3 linked regions of the Drosophila melanogaster genome follow. The protein of the gene in region 2 purifies or fractionates together with the protein of the main gene of each other region. This does not show direct contact. Each region holds a gene or a part of one and is shown on either strand. Other genes may lie near its edges.

Evidence for each region. The genes of interacting proteins can lie anywhere in the genome.
Region 1: the proteins of CG5174 (region 2) and RhoGDI purify together in Drosophila melanogaster (affinity purification with mass spectrometry, with the first as the bait; one large-scale study listed by BioGRID). This does not show direct contact.
Region 3: the proteins of CG5174 (region 2) and p23 purify together in Drosophila melanogaster (affinity purification with mass spectrometry, with the first as the bait; one large-scale study listed by BioGRID). This does not show direct contact.

Annotation. Positions count from the first base shown.
Region 1 is NT_037436.4:19,926,766-19,933,430, reverse strand, and holds RhoGDI (RhoGDI), read right to left. Parts: upstream 4,689-6,665; 5' UTR 4,523-4,688; intron 2,617-4,522; 5' UTR 2,601-2,616; coding exon 2,417-2,600; intron 2,344-2,416; coding exon 2,234-2,343; intron 2,169-2,233; coding exon 2,054-2,168; intron 1,741-2,053; exon of another isoform or gene 1,694-1,740; coding exon of another isoform or gene 1,589-1,693; exon of another isoform or gene 1,519-1,588; intron 1,450-1,518; coding exon 1,253-1,449; 3' UTR 501-1,252; downstream 1-500. Other genes in the region: CG46462 (uncharacterized protein), read right to left, coding at 1,589-1,693; CG8004 (uncharacterized protein), read left to right, coding at 4,994-5,077, 5,151-5,876; Grasp65, read right to left, coding at 6,552-6,665.
Region 2 is NT_033778.4:18,421,058-18,426,828, reverse strand, and holds CG5174 (uncharacterized protein), read right to left. Parts: upstream 3,898-5,771; 5' UTR 3,545-3,897; coding exon 3,094-3,544; intron 2,961-3,093; coding exon of another isoform or gene 2,958-2,960; intron 2,861-2,957; coding exon of another isoform or gene 2,822-2,860; intron 2,703-2,821; coding exon 2,578-2,702; intron 2,504-2,577; coding exon 2,343-2,503; intron 2,223-2,342; coding exon 2,163-2,222; intron 1,958-2,162; coding exon 1,753-1,957; intron 1,490-1,752; coding exon 1,382-1,489; 3' UTR 866-1,381; coding exon of another isoform or gene 824-865; 3' UTR 608-823; downstream 1-607. Other genes in the region: PIG-O (phosphatidylinositol glycan anchor biosynthesis class O), read right to left, coding at 1-100.
Region 3 is NT_033777.3:9,676,420-9,680,158, forward strand, and holds p23 (p23), read left to right. Parts: upstream 1-1,507; 5' UTR 1,508-1,650; coding exon 1,651-1,667; intron 1,668-2,142; coding exon 2,143-2,229; intron 2,230-2,300; coding exon 2,301-2,557; intron 2,558-2,623; coding exon 2,624-2,817; 3' UTR 2,818-3,239; downstream 3,240-3,739. Other genes in the region: Nepl12 (Neprilysin-like 12), read left to right, coding at 1-245, 305-1,300; nmdyn-D7, read left to right, coding at 3,662-3,739. UniProt on the Drosophila melanogaster protein: Cytosolic prostaglandin synthase that catalyzes the oxidoreduction of prostaglandin endoperoxide H2 (PGH2) to prostaglandin E2 (PGE2).

The sequences.
Region 1 (6,665 bases), on a different chromosome or scaffold from region 2:
CCGAAAACACAAATGATTTGTTTTTCTTAAATTACACCATTTTTCTGCTGGCAACTATAGCAATTTCCGAAAAAGTAACTTGCTTATTCATGCAGGTTTTCGCGACTCTGAAGACAAATGTGCGTTGGAATATAAAATGCGGTTATTATTATTTTCTGTTCTGAAGCGGCGATTGTTGGGCAACATGCTGCTAATGTCTGGCGCAACAAGAGGCTGGCCACTTGTTGCTGGTTGCGAATGTAAACAGAGAAGTGTGTTTCACAAATTCTCTCTTTTGTACACCTTGAAAAATATTTGGTGACCGTTCACAGGGCGGATGAGTAATACTCGCTCTGCTGGCCACAATTTATGACGTTTGCCCCTTGGCAATGTAAGCTGATAAGCATTATAAAGTGTGAAGTCAACTTATCTTTGGCTACGGAGAAATCTGTGCACACACTGCCACTATAATTTATGGGATACCCATATCATGGAAAAAGAATTCGCTCACTTAGGCATTTATTTTAAAATATGTATCCTTTATTCTTTATTGCTCTTCGGTTGCATTCAATCAGCTTTCGCATATATGGTATGTTGTACACAAAAAATACACAGAGATATATAGTTAGAATAATGTGGATTTAAGTAACTCCATGTTGCACAAACTTCAAATGCATAATAAAGCATCAGCTTTAGTTGCATTTAACAGTTCGTGTTGCACGATTTTAATCGGTTTCTTTTTAGTTTTGAGGCGACTTGTTCTTACAATAAACTATTCCATTCTTCAATTTGAAATACACAGCGAAATGCAAACAACTTTCTTAAAGTTAATTACTCAATTGTTAATCTGTTTGAAAATGTATGTTAAACATAGGCAATGGCATTAAGAACCAAACGACTGACTGTCTGACTGACTGGTTGGCTGACTGACTGACTGACTGGCCTAGTGACTTGACTTGGTTTTGACTTGACTCTCATTGAGGAGGACTTAGGCGAAAAATGCTCTTCATCTGCACACATTCCAATTGCAAATAGGGTATCAAAAATACTTATCATGGCTTTACATTACACTTTAGTTACAAAAATATTTAAAATTTAATACCGTTAACAAAAATACTTGACGATCAATTACACTTTTGGAAAAATTCGCTTACACTTTTGGAACAAAACTAAACTCATTTACAAGGCATGTTTGAGGGAAAACAAAAAGCGTATGATGTATGTTGTAAGTTGTGTGTCGTGTGTGTTTGTTGTGTGCTGTTCGGTGTGCCAATTAGGCCCAGTCCTTTTTGATCTCAAAGGTCCAGTCCCACTCCAGGTGTATGTGCTTGTCGTCATCCGTGAAGACCGAACTGACCGAGTAGGTGCCGCGGGAGAATGTGCCTGAAGGTGCCTCCTCGGCGGGCGTCAAATAGAACTGAATCTCCTTCTTCGGCGGATAGGAGCCAACCATATGCTTCATCTTGTCAACTATGGAGTAATGCGAAAACAGTCAGTTTAGTAAGGATACACATTTGCGGATGGGCTGCACCAGCTTACCCACAACTTAAAAAATTATACATTCCGAAATTAGGGTTTGGCATTGGAGATAATGGAATACAAGTTATTCTCAACACATGACTAAAGTTAGTATGGCAATTGTGAAAAAAAGGATATAGGCAGCACTGCAAAATCCCACCAGTATGGTTGTGCCATTGAACCAGCTTTTACCCATTGCTAGAAACAAAACTCGACTAGCCCGCACAAAAGTCAATCAAAAACTGAGGTGTAATACTAACGATTTCGCGTCAGCACGGAAAATTGAAGACCTAGAAGTGCTCGCATAGTGTAACGTATGGAAAATAACTAAAAACAAGTATCTTTTGACCCGGTTTTAATTTAATTTTATTCTTACAATACTAGGGCACTAGGTCAGTAAATAAATAAATCAATTAATAGAAAATTAGGGTAGGACAAAAAAGAAATATAATTGCTTTGCCCTAAGTAAAGACATATAATGTTGATAGAATTGAGAGTGTAAATCTATTCTATATTCTGCCAATTAAAAATACAAATGTCATGTTTAAATACTCACCATTAACACCCAAGCGAGAAGTCTTTTGAACATACTTAAGGCCATGGACTATTTCACGCTGCACAATAAAATCAATGCGCACCTTGTACTGAACACCTTCTTTGATCACAAAAAGCTGTCGCAATAGGGTTTTGATTAACAAAAGTAGTCGAATGGATGATGATGGTTAATGATATTTACCTGCTTTTTCAGCTGACTAAGGTCACCGGTAAGATCCAATTCCATGTCGTCGCGTCCTTCGACAACGAGGGCCAGTTTCTTTACAATAACTTTTCGGGGATCATTGGGTTCTGGGTAAAAATGTTATTGCTTTAGTATATTCTGCACCCTCCACTTTCAGAGGCCAAGTTAACCGCCCCTTACCAACAATAATTTTCTCGGTCTGGGCGGCACCCAGGAGCGCCTCCTTGTAGCGCCGCAAGCTCTCATCCTCCTGATCGGCGGCCATTATTTCCTCGATGGTCTTCTCCGGCGGCGCCTGGTAGTTGGCATCGTGGACATCGTCGTCGTGGTGCTCGGGATGGTGCTTCGTCTCTGTTTCGGCCATGATTGCTAACCTAGAACTGTCCAAAGGCAATTGTTTGTTTATCAATCAATTACATTTAAATATTGCTTCGGATTTTGCTTAGTATGCGTCGGTTTCTCTGGGTGAAGCTTGTGGGTCATAGGCATATTTTTAGTAGTGTGAGTAACATTTTGACGATAATGATGTTGTTTTATACACATATGTATATGCCTCCATTTTAATGGCATGTGCGCCACCATATCTGCTACATCGTATCGGAGTGTATGAAAGTATTCCTCATTCAAAAAATGTAGGAAGAGTGTTTTTTCTTCTGAAAATTGTCGCCCTAAGGAGAGTTGAGCTCATAACTTAACAATGCAGGGAAGAAATTCGAAAAAAAAACCTGCCATCTAAATATATAGTTGAGTAGTTAGTACATTTGTTTCTACAAATTACAATGTTAAATATTGAAATTCAAATAACAACGATCGCAAACATATTCCATATACTTCGCTACTGATTACGTTATCATTCGCTGGCCATAAAGCGGGTTTATTTACTTTTTTGGCAACACGAGTGCCTCCGTTGCGAACAAATGTAGCCACTTCATAAGCCCGTTCAATAATATTGATTAAATTTCAATTATTAACGCATTGATGAACTGACGTGTTCTCTGTCTAGGGGGCGGGGCAGAGAGGGGCGCTCGACCTGCAGCTGGTCCGCTCGCAAAGTAAAAAAAAAGGTTCAACCAAATACGGAGCGGCAGTTAGATAAGGCAGGCGAACTCGACGGAGGGAGAGAGAGCGGATATCGGCATTGAATAATATTGACCAGAACTGGGAACTGGCGACAAAAAGCCAAACCCACCGCCCCCCGGAAAATGGCTTTATTGTTATCTTGCTTTGTTTTCCACTATCTAAATACACGTCGCCAGCTCTCTGTCCATTTTCAACGAATGTTGTTGGGCCAATAATAATTCTCGATTCTCCAGATTTGGCTTTATATATATGTACATACATATGCAGTGTACCCGGGCAAAAAAAATACATGAAATTGAATTGTTATTACTTGACATCGAGTTGTTGTTGAGGTAATAAAATTGTGTCTATACAAAACGATTTTGCAGGCCCATGTGTACATACAGTAGTAATAATGATGTATTTCTCAATTTTATACAAAACATATTTTGAAATTCTCAAAGCTAATAAATATTTATCTATCTATCTATCTGTTTTTTACTTGTAAATGTAAATATTATTGGTGCTTAAAAATCAATAGTTTGAATCTTAGTATCGGTTTTTAGATCTCATCGTAATATTTCCAAATTAGGCATATGAAAAGCACTCACAATTTCTCTCCGTGCTTGTGTGGGAATGGCAAAAAATAATAAACAAAAAATTTTCGGACTAACAACGCAAGTTTGGGCCAATAAATACAATCGCAACAATTAAGGATGGGTGAGAAAAGGTAATTTCAAGAACAATCTGACCGAACTGAAAATTTGAATTCCAAACAAATGTGCCAGCGTCGAAGGAAGTGCAAGCGAGAGGGCTTGCCAGAGAGAGAGAGAGAGAGAGAGAGAGAGAGGACCCCCCGCCAAAGACAAAGTGTGGGGATAATTCAGGGAAAAGTACGAACCATGCCACTTTTTTTTCTTCTCTTTTTTTGATAAAGAAATGTGCACGAAGAATGTTAAAACCCCAGACGAATGAATCACACACACCAGCTCACACACACACACACTCACACTGAGGCCGGCACATGAATCGTCACTGATTTTCAAGTAGAATTTTTGGGAGTGGTTCTTGGCCTGCAGTCACCCAACTACATACATTTGCTATCAATGCCAGCTTGTATTAAATTAATATAATAATATTATAAATATTTTTTTTATGTAAAATGCATTGGAAGGCACCGCACTCACACACACACACAGTTGCAAGTTGGCAACGACGCGCACTCACCTTTTAATATGCGAAATTAATCAAATAGTACGATCTCTGAAAATTAATCACTGAAAAGTAACTGTATGTTATATTTTTAACAACTTTTGATAACTAACTTTTAAACAAAGCAAATAATATAAAATAAGAATTACAAGTGTGAACGTATGCTTTGGTGGACAGAATACCAAAACGCGAGATGGACTTGAAGAAGTCATCCGTTCACACTGCTGTCCAAAAATACTTGCTTTTCGAAAAAGTTTTTAGTTTTGAAACAGCTTCCCCTAAATCTATTTTATACTTTGTAAGTATGGGTTTAAAAAGAAATTATTAATTAGTTTAACGAATCTTGCTGAAATGCAATTTCTAATAAGAATCGCTGTTTGGTCATTGTCTGCAACAGTCTGGCAACGCCGACAAACAGCTGCTTGTTACTTCATCGGCGATTTCGGTGTGCAAGTTGAAAAACACAATTTACTCCGTTAATTTACAATGACATCCCAGTACCTGAGCCAGCTAATAACGGCCGACAAATTGTCCGCCGAGCCCTGGCCCGAAGACGCCACCCTCTACCAGGTAAGGTCCTGGTTTATAGGTCCAGAATCTTCACTAACATTAACCTTTCATTAATGTGCATTAAAAAAAACAGCCGTATGAAGCGGAACAGATCCTACTGCCGGAAAACGCCAGTTGCCTTGCTGTGAAGGCTTACCTGAAGATGTGCAACCTCCCCTTTTTGATTCGGTCCTGTGCCAACGCGGAGCACATGTCGCCGGGCGGCAGGATGACCAAGTTGCCCTTCATCCGCGCAGGAGCATTCATCTTTGCCGAATTCGAGCCGATCGTGAACTTTGTGGAGCAGAAGGAACTGGCCATTGGCAGCTGGCAGGACGAGGACGAGAAGGCCGACATGCGCACCTATGTGTCGCTGGTGGAGAACATCTTCACCATGGCTGAGCTGTACATTAGCTTCAAGAACGAACGCGTCTACAAAGAGGTCACAGCGCCCAGGAACGGAGTCGTTTTTCCCTGGCCCCTCAATCACATGCAGAACTATGGAAAGCGGCGGAACGCGCTGCGTCTGTTGAAGGTCTATCAGTGGGACGACCTGGACATCGATAGCGTCATTGACAAGGTGGCCAAGTGCTGTGAGACGCTCGAATACAAGCTGAAAGAGTCGCCGGAAACGCCATTCTTCTACGGCGATCAGCCCTGCGAACTGGACGCCATCGCCTTCGGCCACCTCTTCAGCATTCTGACCACCACGCTGCCGAACATGGCGCTGGCCCAAACGGTGCAGAAGTTCCAGCACTTGGTCGAGTTCTGTCGCTTCGTCGATGAGAAGTACTTTCAGACGAGGTGCCTACCAAATTAGTTATACGTAGTCGTTGCCTTAAATGCTTATCAATTAAGTTGCTCTTGTCCTTTCTTTTTAACCGCTTATATATGCAATTCTAAATGCCCTTAAAACAAATCGTCGCCGTAAGTCACAATTATTTTGCTACTAGCATTTAAAAAAAAAAGTTGTTCTAGTGATTTTGCTGCCATTAATGTCCAAAAATCCATGTGAATATCATTTGCACAAGTGACTCAATCTGCAAGTTTGTTTAAATGGAATTCTAAAATACTTCTAACGATCTTTACTTCATTTATTTTGCAGCAAATAACTTTTCTGCTAATAAAATTGTGTAAGTATTTGCTATAATACATCAAATAAATTGTTTTCTTAGCAAACCAAAAAAAAAAATAGTCTTGATTTTTGAACATTGCTGCCTTTTCCTTTTCATACTTTTGAAGAAATTGAACTCTCGTTTATGTAAAGACCTTAAATACACATATAGTTTTATTGATTTATTGTTATAATTAATTTAGATTATTATTATGAATGCAATGTACACATCTTTGCATGCAGATGGCCGAACCAATCGCGCCACTTGTGATATTTGCTAACGCAATCATACAAAACAATCAGATGATTCTCGAAAATAAAAGCTTAACAATTTGTCCAGGTTTAGCAGTTGGTCCATTAGCAGTTGGCCCAGTAGAAGTCTTAGTTTCCAGCCTGATTCACTGCCGGTCCGGATAGTTCGTCGTTGCCTGCCGCCGGAGCAGCGCCAGCTTGCGGTGGTACTGGTGGTGCAAACACATGGGCCATCTGCGGCGG
Region 2 (5,771 bases):
TGGACACCCGGGCCAATAGGAATCCCCGCGAGAAGAGCATCACGCCGCTGCTGATGAGGAAGGCCAGCCAAATAAGCACGAACAAGTACGTCAAGTTCATCTTTCGGCTGCGATTAATTAACTAACTAGGCACACAAATGCTTAATGAGTAATAAACTTTTTAGCATTTAGAACAATGCTGGTGTAGGCGAATACTTTATGCGGCTGGCCAGCCGCTTTCAGTTGTATAAAACTATGTAATTTAATTGCACTTTACTTCGGAGTGGTTGATTAGGTTTCCGGCATCACGATGCGTTCTGTTTGCTCGCTGTTTTCATTTAAAATTCCTCATATCTAAAGATTTTCTTGTGGCCTGAAGAAAAAATTGAGAAGTATGCAAGAACCCTCTATGGCGTTGCCACCTCGTCAAAGCAAACAGCTGTTTTACGTTGATCCCTGGGTTAAATCAGAGTTGTCAACTTTATTATAATTTTTGGCGGGATATTTAAAGCTGACAGATGAAATTGGAAATTAACTTTTTTTAATTCATTAGCTGTAGTTTAAGTTTGAAAAGGTAATCACACATATACTCCCAAACATCATTTATCAAAAAGACATCGCTATTTTTATGGGGCAAAAATTTTTGCATTTATTCAAAGATTTCATACACATATAGCAAATTTGATCAGCATTAGCAACAAATTGGGTGCGATTTCGTCTCTTTCTCAATCTTCAGCAGTACGGACTACATCCACTTAAGTTTACCAATGGATTTTCGTTATTTGCACGCAAGCTCTGATCGTAACACAAATATTTAGTACTAAATAAATTTGGAATTGGCTTTTCAACGGATTAGGGAACGCCATCTAACCACGGAACTCAACGCCTAGAGAAGAAATAAAAGCGTAAAACAAATGTATATTCACTTTAACCGCAATGCATGATTTTCTAATGTTTTTACTAAGTATTAGAAACATTTGGGAATGACATCGGGTGGACCATCCAATGTGGTTTAGTCTTTAAACGTACACTTAGATTGATAGTTATATAAACGAATGCAGCAAGCCCTTGGATCTTCGATCCTCCGTGGCTTTAAATTTAAACAAGTCATGCAATTTGATGGTGTCTCCAAGGCAAATACAAATAGATGCATATAATATGTGCTCCCATTGGCAAATTTTTGACGCGCAGATTTTAGTTATATTAAGTATTATATAAACCGTATCGACACAGGTGTACATATGATTTCTGGTTAAATTAATTCTGATCCTGTTGTTAGTGCGCAGACACGACAATTCGCTTTAGTTAAATAAGTTAATAGAGTGGGTGCGTGGGTCTGTTTGTATGTAGTATAGGTTGCTCCACATTATCGACGCGCTTGGCCTTGCAGTTGCCCCGAAATCTATTTCGGGAGTGAGTCTGTGGGTGAATTCAGACCCGAGGATGTGTTATTCTCGTCCAGGGCATCTGGGAAACTGGACACCGAACCCGAGCGGGATGTCACCTTGGTCTACAATAGAACAGAAAACCGAACAGATTGTAGTAGAGGTGCAGTAGCATTTGCGCAAGGAGTAGTTCGTTGTGTAAGCAAGCAAATCAACCGAAGTATCCCAATTCAGAGTGCGTTTATAGTGGGTGAGCAAGTGTGAAAGATGTGTGGTTAGTGTTAGTTAGTTGGTTAGTTAGTGGCTAGTTAGTTAGACGGGAACCAAAACAGAATCGCAACAGTATGAGAGATGTGTAAAGACAGATATATAATAAAATAGTAGTTACCGCATGAGATTGGCACATAAAATTGTTGTGTTCATAGCTTACTTTAACGTTCTCGTAGGCAGAGCCCACCGAAGCCTCGATAGAACGCATCGATTCGGAGTTTTTCATTTGCGACAGTTTCGACGAAATGCCACTGGTGATGCTGCCAAACACCGAGGCGGTCTTCTCGCCCGTGGACTTTAGCACCGACTCAGTGCGTTGGTATCTAGGGGAGAGTACAAATAAATCCAACATTAGTTACTCATCTCGATAGTTTTCCTCCATACACAAAGTGGGCAAACATAGGTGCGCTTTAGTTACAAACAGGCGAGAGTTGGTTATTGTGTTAAAGGAAGTGGCGTGAAACACGGCGTTAGTCCGGTAACTCCAAAAGTACCCAATTAAAAATCAGCCTGAACCCAATTACTTACAGTGGTGCCTCGTACACCGTTTTAGTAAACGTGCCCACGCTCTGCTCCACCGATTGGTAACTAAATAAATACACGTTATAGCGTTTCAACAGGAGTTTGAAACAAAAAGCATGGTTAGAAATTAAAACTGTCTAGTCGGGTTAATTGCCCAGCAGAACTGCGAACGGTTCATAGACTTACACAGTGCTCTCCTTGAGGTTCTTAAGGCCCTGGTTCACGTCGTCCGTCACCTCCTTCCAGACGGTGATGCCCAGCTTGCGCTTGAGATCGGAGGCATGGCGCGTCTTGGAGGCTAGGACAGTTCGCAGCGTATTGATCTCTTCCTCAACGCGGGCGAGCTCCTGGAAATTGAAGTAGAAGTTAGCGTTCGAGCTGAGTAATCAAATTATGATCGTAAAACTGAAAACTTCCTTACCTGACTCCACTCAGCCCGACGCTGCTCCTTCTCCTCGACGGAAAGCGCAGCGAACTCGGCGGCAATTTCTGCGGATGCCACAGAATTAGCTGGAGATGCTGGCTCCGACAGGTTGGCTGTATTATCTGAACATGAAATAAAAAGCCATTAAATATATGCCAATCCAAGGGAACATTAAAACTTGGGGTGCTGTGTGGGGACTGTAGCTTAATTTCAATGTTGTCGGCGGGTAGTGTTTAAGTACCTCCTTTGAAAGCAACTTCCTCAAAGACTTTGTCATAGGCTGAATACACCGAATTTAGTTGTATATACGAGTATGTACAATTTGCAAAGACATGAGTTGGTTAATTGGTTAGATCTGGGTTTTTGTTAATACTCACAAACTGACGAGGCGAAAGGCAGGCAAAGGAGAAAGAAACAGAGAAGTTAGTCTGGTTAGTCATGGTTGAAAGTGGAAAAGCGAATGCCACAGAACAAAGACCCGACCTAAGCCCACCAACCCCCCTCCCCACTGACCGAATTTGGTACCTCTACTTCTATGCCCAATGTTGAGGAATCTCTTGTAGTTATCACTGTTTGATATTTTGGCCAGATACGGTTTGGAGAAGTCTATGAACGTGACCTTAACGTCGCGCATGGTTCGCTTGGCAAAGAACTTCAAGCGGAAGCGTTTGGCCATCGAAGACGATGGCGCTTGATTGGCCAACTTGGCGGCAATGAAGTCCGCCTCCACTGCCTGCAATTCCAGGCTGTTGGTGTAGTCCGAATCCACATCGTAGAATATCTGGTCTAGCGTCAGATTACGCAAATATAGCTCAGCCTCGCTCTCCTCCTGCCCATCGCCATACCAGTCCAAGACGGCATCATTGGTTTCCAGATCCAGTGACGGTGTGCTGGTGAGATCATCAATGCTTGGCAGATAGGGGTCTTCAATGAACTCCAGGCTATTCGGTTCCGATTCGCTCATTCTGTGGCAATAGCGGCGCTCTCTTTCATCTTTGGCAGCAACTTTCTATTTTGAACGTGGCAGCTGCTGGCGCAGGAGGCTCATATTGTCTTGGCCCAATCCTAAGCACATATCACGTTTCCACGGTCAGCAGCGAGCACATTTTTCTTGGCCCTGCTTTCAGCCACTTCGATCGTTCTTTGCTGAGCTTTCAGTTCTTGGCCCGCCGCGTTCCACATAAATTCCTCTCCCCATGCGATCGCAGCTGGTTTGTGGTGGTTCTTCTGTTTCTGTTTCGATTTCAGTTTCGTTTTCGCTTTCGATTCTGGGCCTGCTCCATCCACGCTCGTCTACAGCCAAATGCCAACTGACTCGATCTCGGCTTAGAAATTGGTAGATGTGGATTGGTTGGCCGCTTGGCTCCGCTTGTTGATGATTCGTGTCAGCACGAAGACGAGAAATGCCACAAGAAGAGCGCTAAACAAAAGGGGCAGCAACAGGCAGCAGCAGCAGTAGCAACCAGCAAGACTACAGTAGAGCTTGACTAAAAGTTACAGCTACGTAAATACATTAGCTCTATAGTAACCAACTTTACACTTCATTTAATTTATAAATTAATAAGCATGGGAAAGTTATAAAGCTAATAATATTTGCATAAATAATAAGTACGCTTTGATAAGACACTAGATATACATATATGTGTCTAATTTAATTGCAGCTAAAATGATTATTTTATCAGTCAAAAAGCTTTGATAAACCGAGACTTCAATTTATTAATTGAATAATATTCTTCTTTAATTGTACCTTTTAAATTTATTAAGTAAACAATTGTGAGGAGATGAACAACTTTAAAAATTGAAAAACCCTATGATAAGGAACTTTAAATATAACTATAAATAAAGTTTTTCTTTGCAAAAACGTACTGTACATAACTGTATCGCTTTGTTGGAGCCAAACAAAAAAAGGAAAATAATTCATAATTTAGCTTCTTGCTAAATAGCAATTACCAGTTTGGATTTTTCCGATTTTTCCCAGCTTCCTCCGACCATCAAGCACTGTATGAGCACAAAGCCACTGTGCCACATTGATGGACCCTATATCTACACTATATATATATATATATATATATGTGAGCTAGTTCTGGTTTGCTGCGAGTTCTTGCTGCTCAGAAGTGCCTGTTGTTGTGGCAGGCCCAATCCCATCGAGAAGTCAACAAGTGGAAGCCAATTACTAAGTGGTTTCGGTGGGGGAACAGAGCTCCGAACAATTATAGTGGCACCATGGTGATAAGCTCAGTGGGAGGAGGCGTTTTCAGATGATATGCATATCATAGCCGCCCTGCGGATGTTGCGCTTCTAAAAGCCACGTATGCATGGACGTCGGAAACCGAGAATGCAATACTTACACCACAAAGAACCTGACCCCCGCCCACCAAACGGATTGCCATCGATGGCATGTCGCAGAACTTCCACGGTAATCCGAATAGTTGGAAAGCCTTTCACCCTACGCAAATCGGAACCATGACTCATCTGCTGATTCCCAGCGCACCAAGGTTAACTCATTGTGTATTCTAAGTCCCCCAAAACTTTTGGCAAAGCCGCTGCTGAATCAGAGTCCTACAATAGTAATGATACCCGAATTACCCGAAAGGTCTTAGGTGTCCCAATCGCCCAGGTCACAAGAGCCCACGGAAACATGTGCCGCTGCATTGGAATTGCAATGATGCACTGCGTCCGTATGCCACACACTTACGGTCCTCCATTACGGCGTTGTCTCCGGAAGTCTGCGGCAATTTTGTTAACTATTTCGATGCCAACTGCACGCACTTGTCGCAAAACTTTCAAGTTGAAAATAATTTTTTGTTTCGCTTGCTTAGCTATCGATGGTTGCTAAAATAAATCGAAGGAATGTCACTATCGATAGCAGCTTTCGGTCAAAAATTCCATCTCTCGTGCACATAACTACACACAAAAAATTCACAAAATCGCTTAAGTAAATACGTAATGCGTAATAAACGTTCAAACAACAGAAATGGGTCAAATTTTACTCACTAAAAGCTCCAATCTTCGTTATCGATTGTAATTAAACTTGTTGCAGCTCGGTGAGAAACTAAGTTAGTTATCGACGCTGTGACACCACTACCTAGAGCTGCCAGATCGCGCCTTTATTCAAACAGAAAAGTTTCGGTTTAAAACTTTTGTATTTCAAAAGAAATAAGACATACGGTTGTATCTGCTATATCTGGGTT
Region 3 (3,739 bases), on a different chromosome or scaffold from region 2:
CGGAGTACTACTATAACATCTCGTGGAGTGGACTCCACTCCACTAACAAATTATTCTGCGACTTTTACTACGTTGAACTGGACAAAGTATGCGCCCGACATCGCAAGGCTGTGGCCAACTACCTGGCCATGAAGCTGCTCTATAGATTCGATCCCAAACTGAAGGCGCCCAGGTACCAAAGGAACTACTGTTCGGTTACGCTTTATCAATCCATGCGGTTTCTGTTCAACAAACTCTACATGGCTGTGGGTAACGAATGCGTATGATGAGAATACCAAATAATCTCAACACTCTTGTGTTACAGAACAACTTCAGTGAGGCGAAGAGGCTGGAGATGTCGGAAATGGTGCGGGAACTGCGAAAGAGTCTGCGAAAGGCGCTGGAGGATGCCGATTGGCTGGATGCGGAGAGCAGGGCGAGGGCACTGCTTAAGGAGTCCAGAATACAGCCACGCATTGGTTCGTTCCAAGATGATGCACTTTCGGATCGAATAATCCGGGAAATCAACAGTCTGAAAGTCATCGAGGATCGCTATGCGGAGACCAACATTAATTTGCAGCACCTAGTTGTACAAATCAATCGATTTAGCAGTCGGCATTTTCAGGAGCTGACCAATGACACCAAGCCACAGAAGATCCTGACAGGATTGCAGGTTGGAGCGGGCTACTACACTCCGGACAACTCCATTAATGTGATGGCTGGCGTGGTGGAACCACCGATATACCAACGCCACCTGCCGATTTCCCTGAAATTCGGCACATTGGGTTTTATCGTTGGTCATGAACTCATCCACGGCTTCGATACGACCAGCTCCTATTTCGATGGCAATGGTCACATGGAGTCCTTGTTGTCGGAAATTTCGCAACAGGCATTAGAGGATCGCGCCGAGTGCTACATGGACTACTATGGCAAGTACCAGGTACCGGAGATCAGCAGGCGTGTCAACGGAAAAACTACACTGGACGAGAATATCGCAGACAATAGCGGATTAAGACAAGCATTGACGGCCTATCGCAGTCACAGGCAGCAACTGCTGGAGCATCCTGGGCAGGAGAGGATAAGCGACGCCATGCCGGGTCTCGATCTCACGCCGGAACAGTTGTTCTTCCTGGGATTTGCCCAGCTATTTTGCTCCCATTACGAGGAGGAGCACTACTGGAAAGGTCTTAGCGATGTGCACACCTTCGACCAATTTCGTGTCCTGGGAGTTTTGTCCAACAGCGAGGACTTCTTCCACGCCTACAACTGCTCCGTGGGCAGCGGCATGCGTCCTGGCGCCAAAACGTGCCGACTTTGGTAGATCATAGATTTATAATCATCATCATAAATTCCTTGAACCAAATAAAAGTTGATTTCAATACTTTTTACCGACAATGTAAAATGTTTTGACACAACACTTCAAATTTACGTTACACGTAACAAGCTAACATTTGTGGTTTGAGTACAACTATCGAAGTTTCGCACCCCAGAGCACCGTTCAAATTTAGTCACATCTCCGCAGCGCGCTCGGTAACTCTGTTTCTCATGTCAATTTTGTGCATGACAATTTTGTTCAACAGAAACTGCCTTTTTTTGTAACCAAGTCAGGCTGTCAGTCAGAAGTGTTCCGACTTCGTAAAACATAAACCAACAATTCACAGCAACAACATAATGTCGGCAGCAGCAGGGTGAGTCCACAACCGGCCATCTCAGTGCCAATCGGCGATAGCCGGACCATCTTTTTGTGGCTTCTTTGTGCGTCGCGTGCTTTGTCGTTGCGGCGGCGTCCATTTTCGAACTCCCGGCCGTGAAAAACACATAATTTTCGTTCGGATGACCCTTATTCTCGCGCTCATCCGCCTGGCCAAGCGTTTGTGTCCACGGTGGGCGTGTCCTGTGCGCATCTGCATTGCGATATTTGTGGAACTAATCGGAGGGTCCAGTGTTTGAGGTTATGTTTTCGGCTGGCGGTAATGCCGTGCATTTTCGGCATGGACTTTTGCCTGGGCTTATGGTTTATGCAAATCTAGCTAGCTGGGAAGCTATTTACATAGTTCGTGCACCCGCTTCCAGAAAGTCCGACGCGAGTTGCCATGGCAACGGATCTCGCACAACGACATGAAGCTCTTATTTATGTTTATCCAACTTGATCCTCCATTGCAGCTTGATTCCGCCTCCAGTTTCCTGGGCCCAGCGCAATGACTTGATCTACGTCATCATCGATGTCGAATGCAAGGACATCGAACACAAGTATATGCCCCCATATGTAGTATGTCCATGCTCCTTGCACATCCTAATTCCATATATTTATCCCAAAACAGAGTTACGGAAAAAACCTTCACCTTCAAGGGCGTAAACGTGCTGGATCCGTCGAAGAAGTACGAGGTCACACTGAACTTCCTCCACGAGGTGGATCCCGAGAAGGTGACCAGCAAGAACATTGGCCGCTGCCTGGAATTCACAATACCCAAGAAGGCGGCCGGTCCCTACTGGTCCTCGCTGACCACGGACAAGACCAAGTTGCATTTCCTAAAAGCCAACTTTGCCAAGTGGCGCGATGAGTCCGACGACGAGGAGGGTAAGTTGACATCCTCATCCCCAAGATCTCATCCAGCAAACCCACTCATACAAACGCACTTTGCAGGTGACCAAAAAGACAACAGCATGTTTGGAAATTTCCTTAACAGCCCTGGTGGCGATTGGAACAACAAGTTCGACGATTTCAACGTCGATGACGAGGAGGAGGACTCGGATGACAACATCCCAAGTCTGTCCCAGAACGACGAGGATGACGAGGAGGGCGGCGAGGGTGATAAGGAGAAGAAGCCAGCTGCCTAGACGGTCGCTCAGATGGTGTCTCGCAATTTGGCGTAGTCGTAGCGTTAGGCGTGGCTCTTATACCATAAGTCAGCACACGATCACAACACTCACTCCTCACATACACACCAGAAAAGAAAAAGAAGAAACACTCAATCACTCATAAAACATCCACAAACGCATGCGTACATGAAACACTATTCCAATCGAAGAAAACCACATTTAATATACCTGAATATTATGCGTATTCAGAGGAGAGATGTTAACAAAAAGCAACACAAGGAACAAGATGATTTGGCGCCGACAAGGGAAACCATAAGTTTTACGCTAGAATTTAACAACCAGAGGAAAGCTACAACCAATTTATTGCAAAAATCAGTTTGCAGTTTATTATTTTTGTTTCCTGTAAATAAAGGAAATTAACAATAAAAAAAATGAAAAACTTATATTCGGCTTTTTATTTTCAATATTTTATAAGTTTACAACATTCTATAAATGTTCTAGAAATCTCTAAACTGTTAAATTCGGAATGCGCAGTCCAGCTTCTTAAAGATGTCGCAAAGAAGGCTTTATCTTTGAATAGATAGCGATTTTAAAAAGAAATTATAGGTAATGGTTAAAAATTGTTTATGGGTAATCCCCTAGAATTTGGGTTTAAAATTAACATAGGTATTTTTTTCTTTAAATTTTGCGCCCACTTAAATGAATTTTGTTATGTTGGCAACACTGTTGCTGTGACAACGCGGGAAAGAAGAAGCACAATTGAAATGCAAAGCAAACAAACAGTTATCACTCGAAATAAAGGACTTGCTGTCAAGCGATAGAACGGAAAAGCAAGGTATAAGATTCCCCTCAAAACGATACCATGAAACCCGCTGCGATTCCGGCTAGCGAGCGGCGTCTGGCCTTCGTGGCCGAGTGGTTCCATGCAGAGGCTGGAATC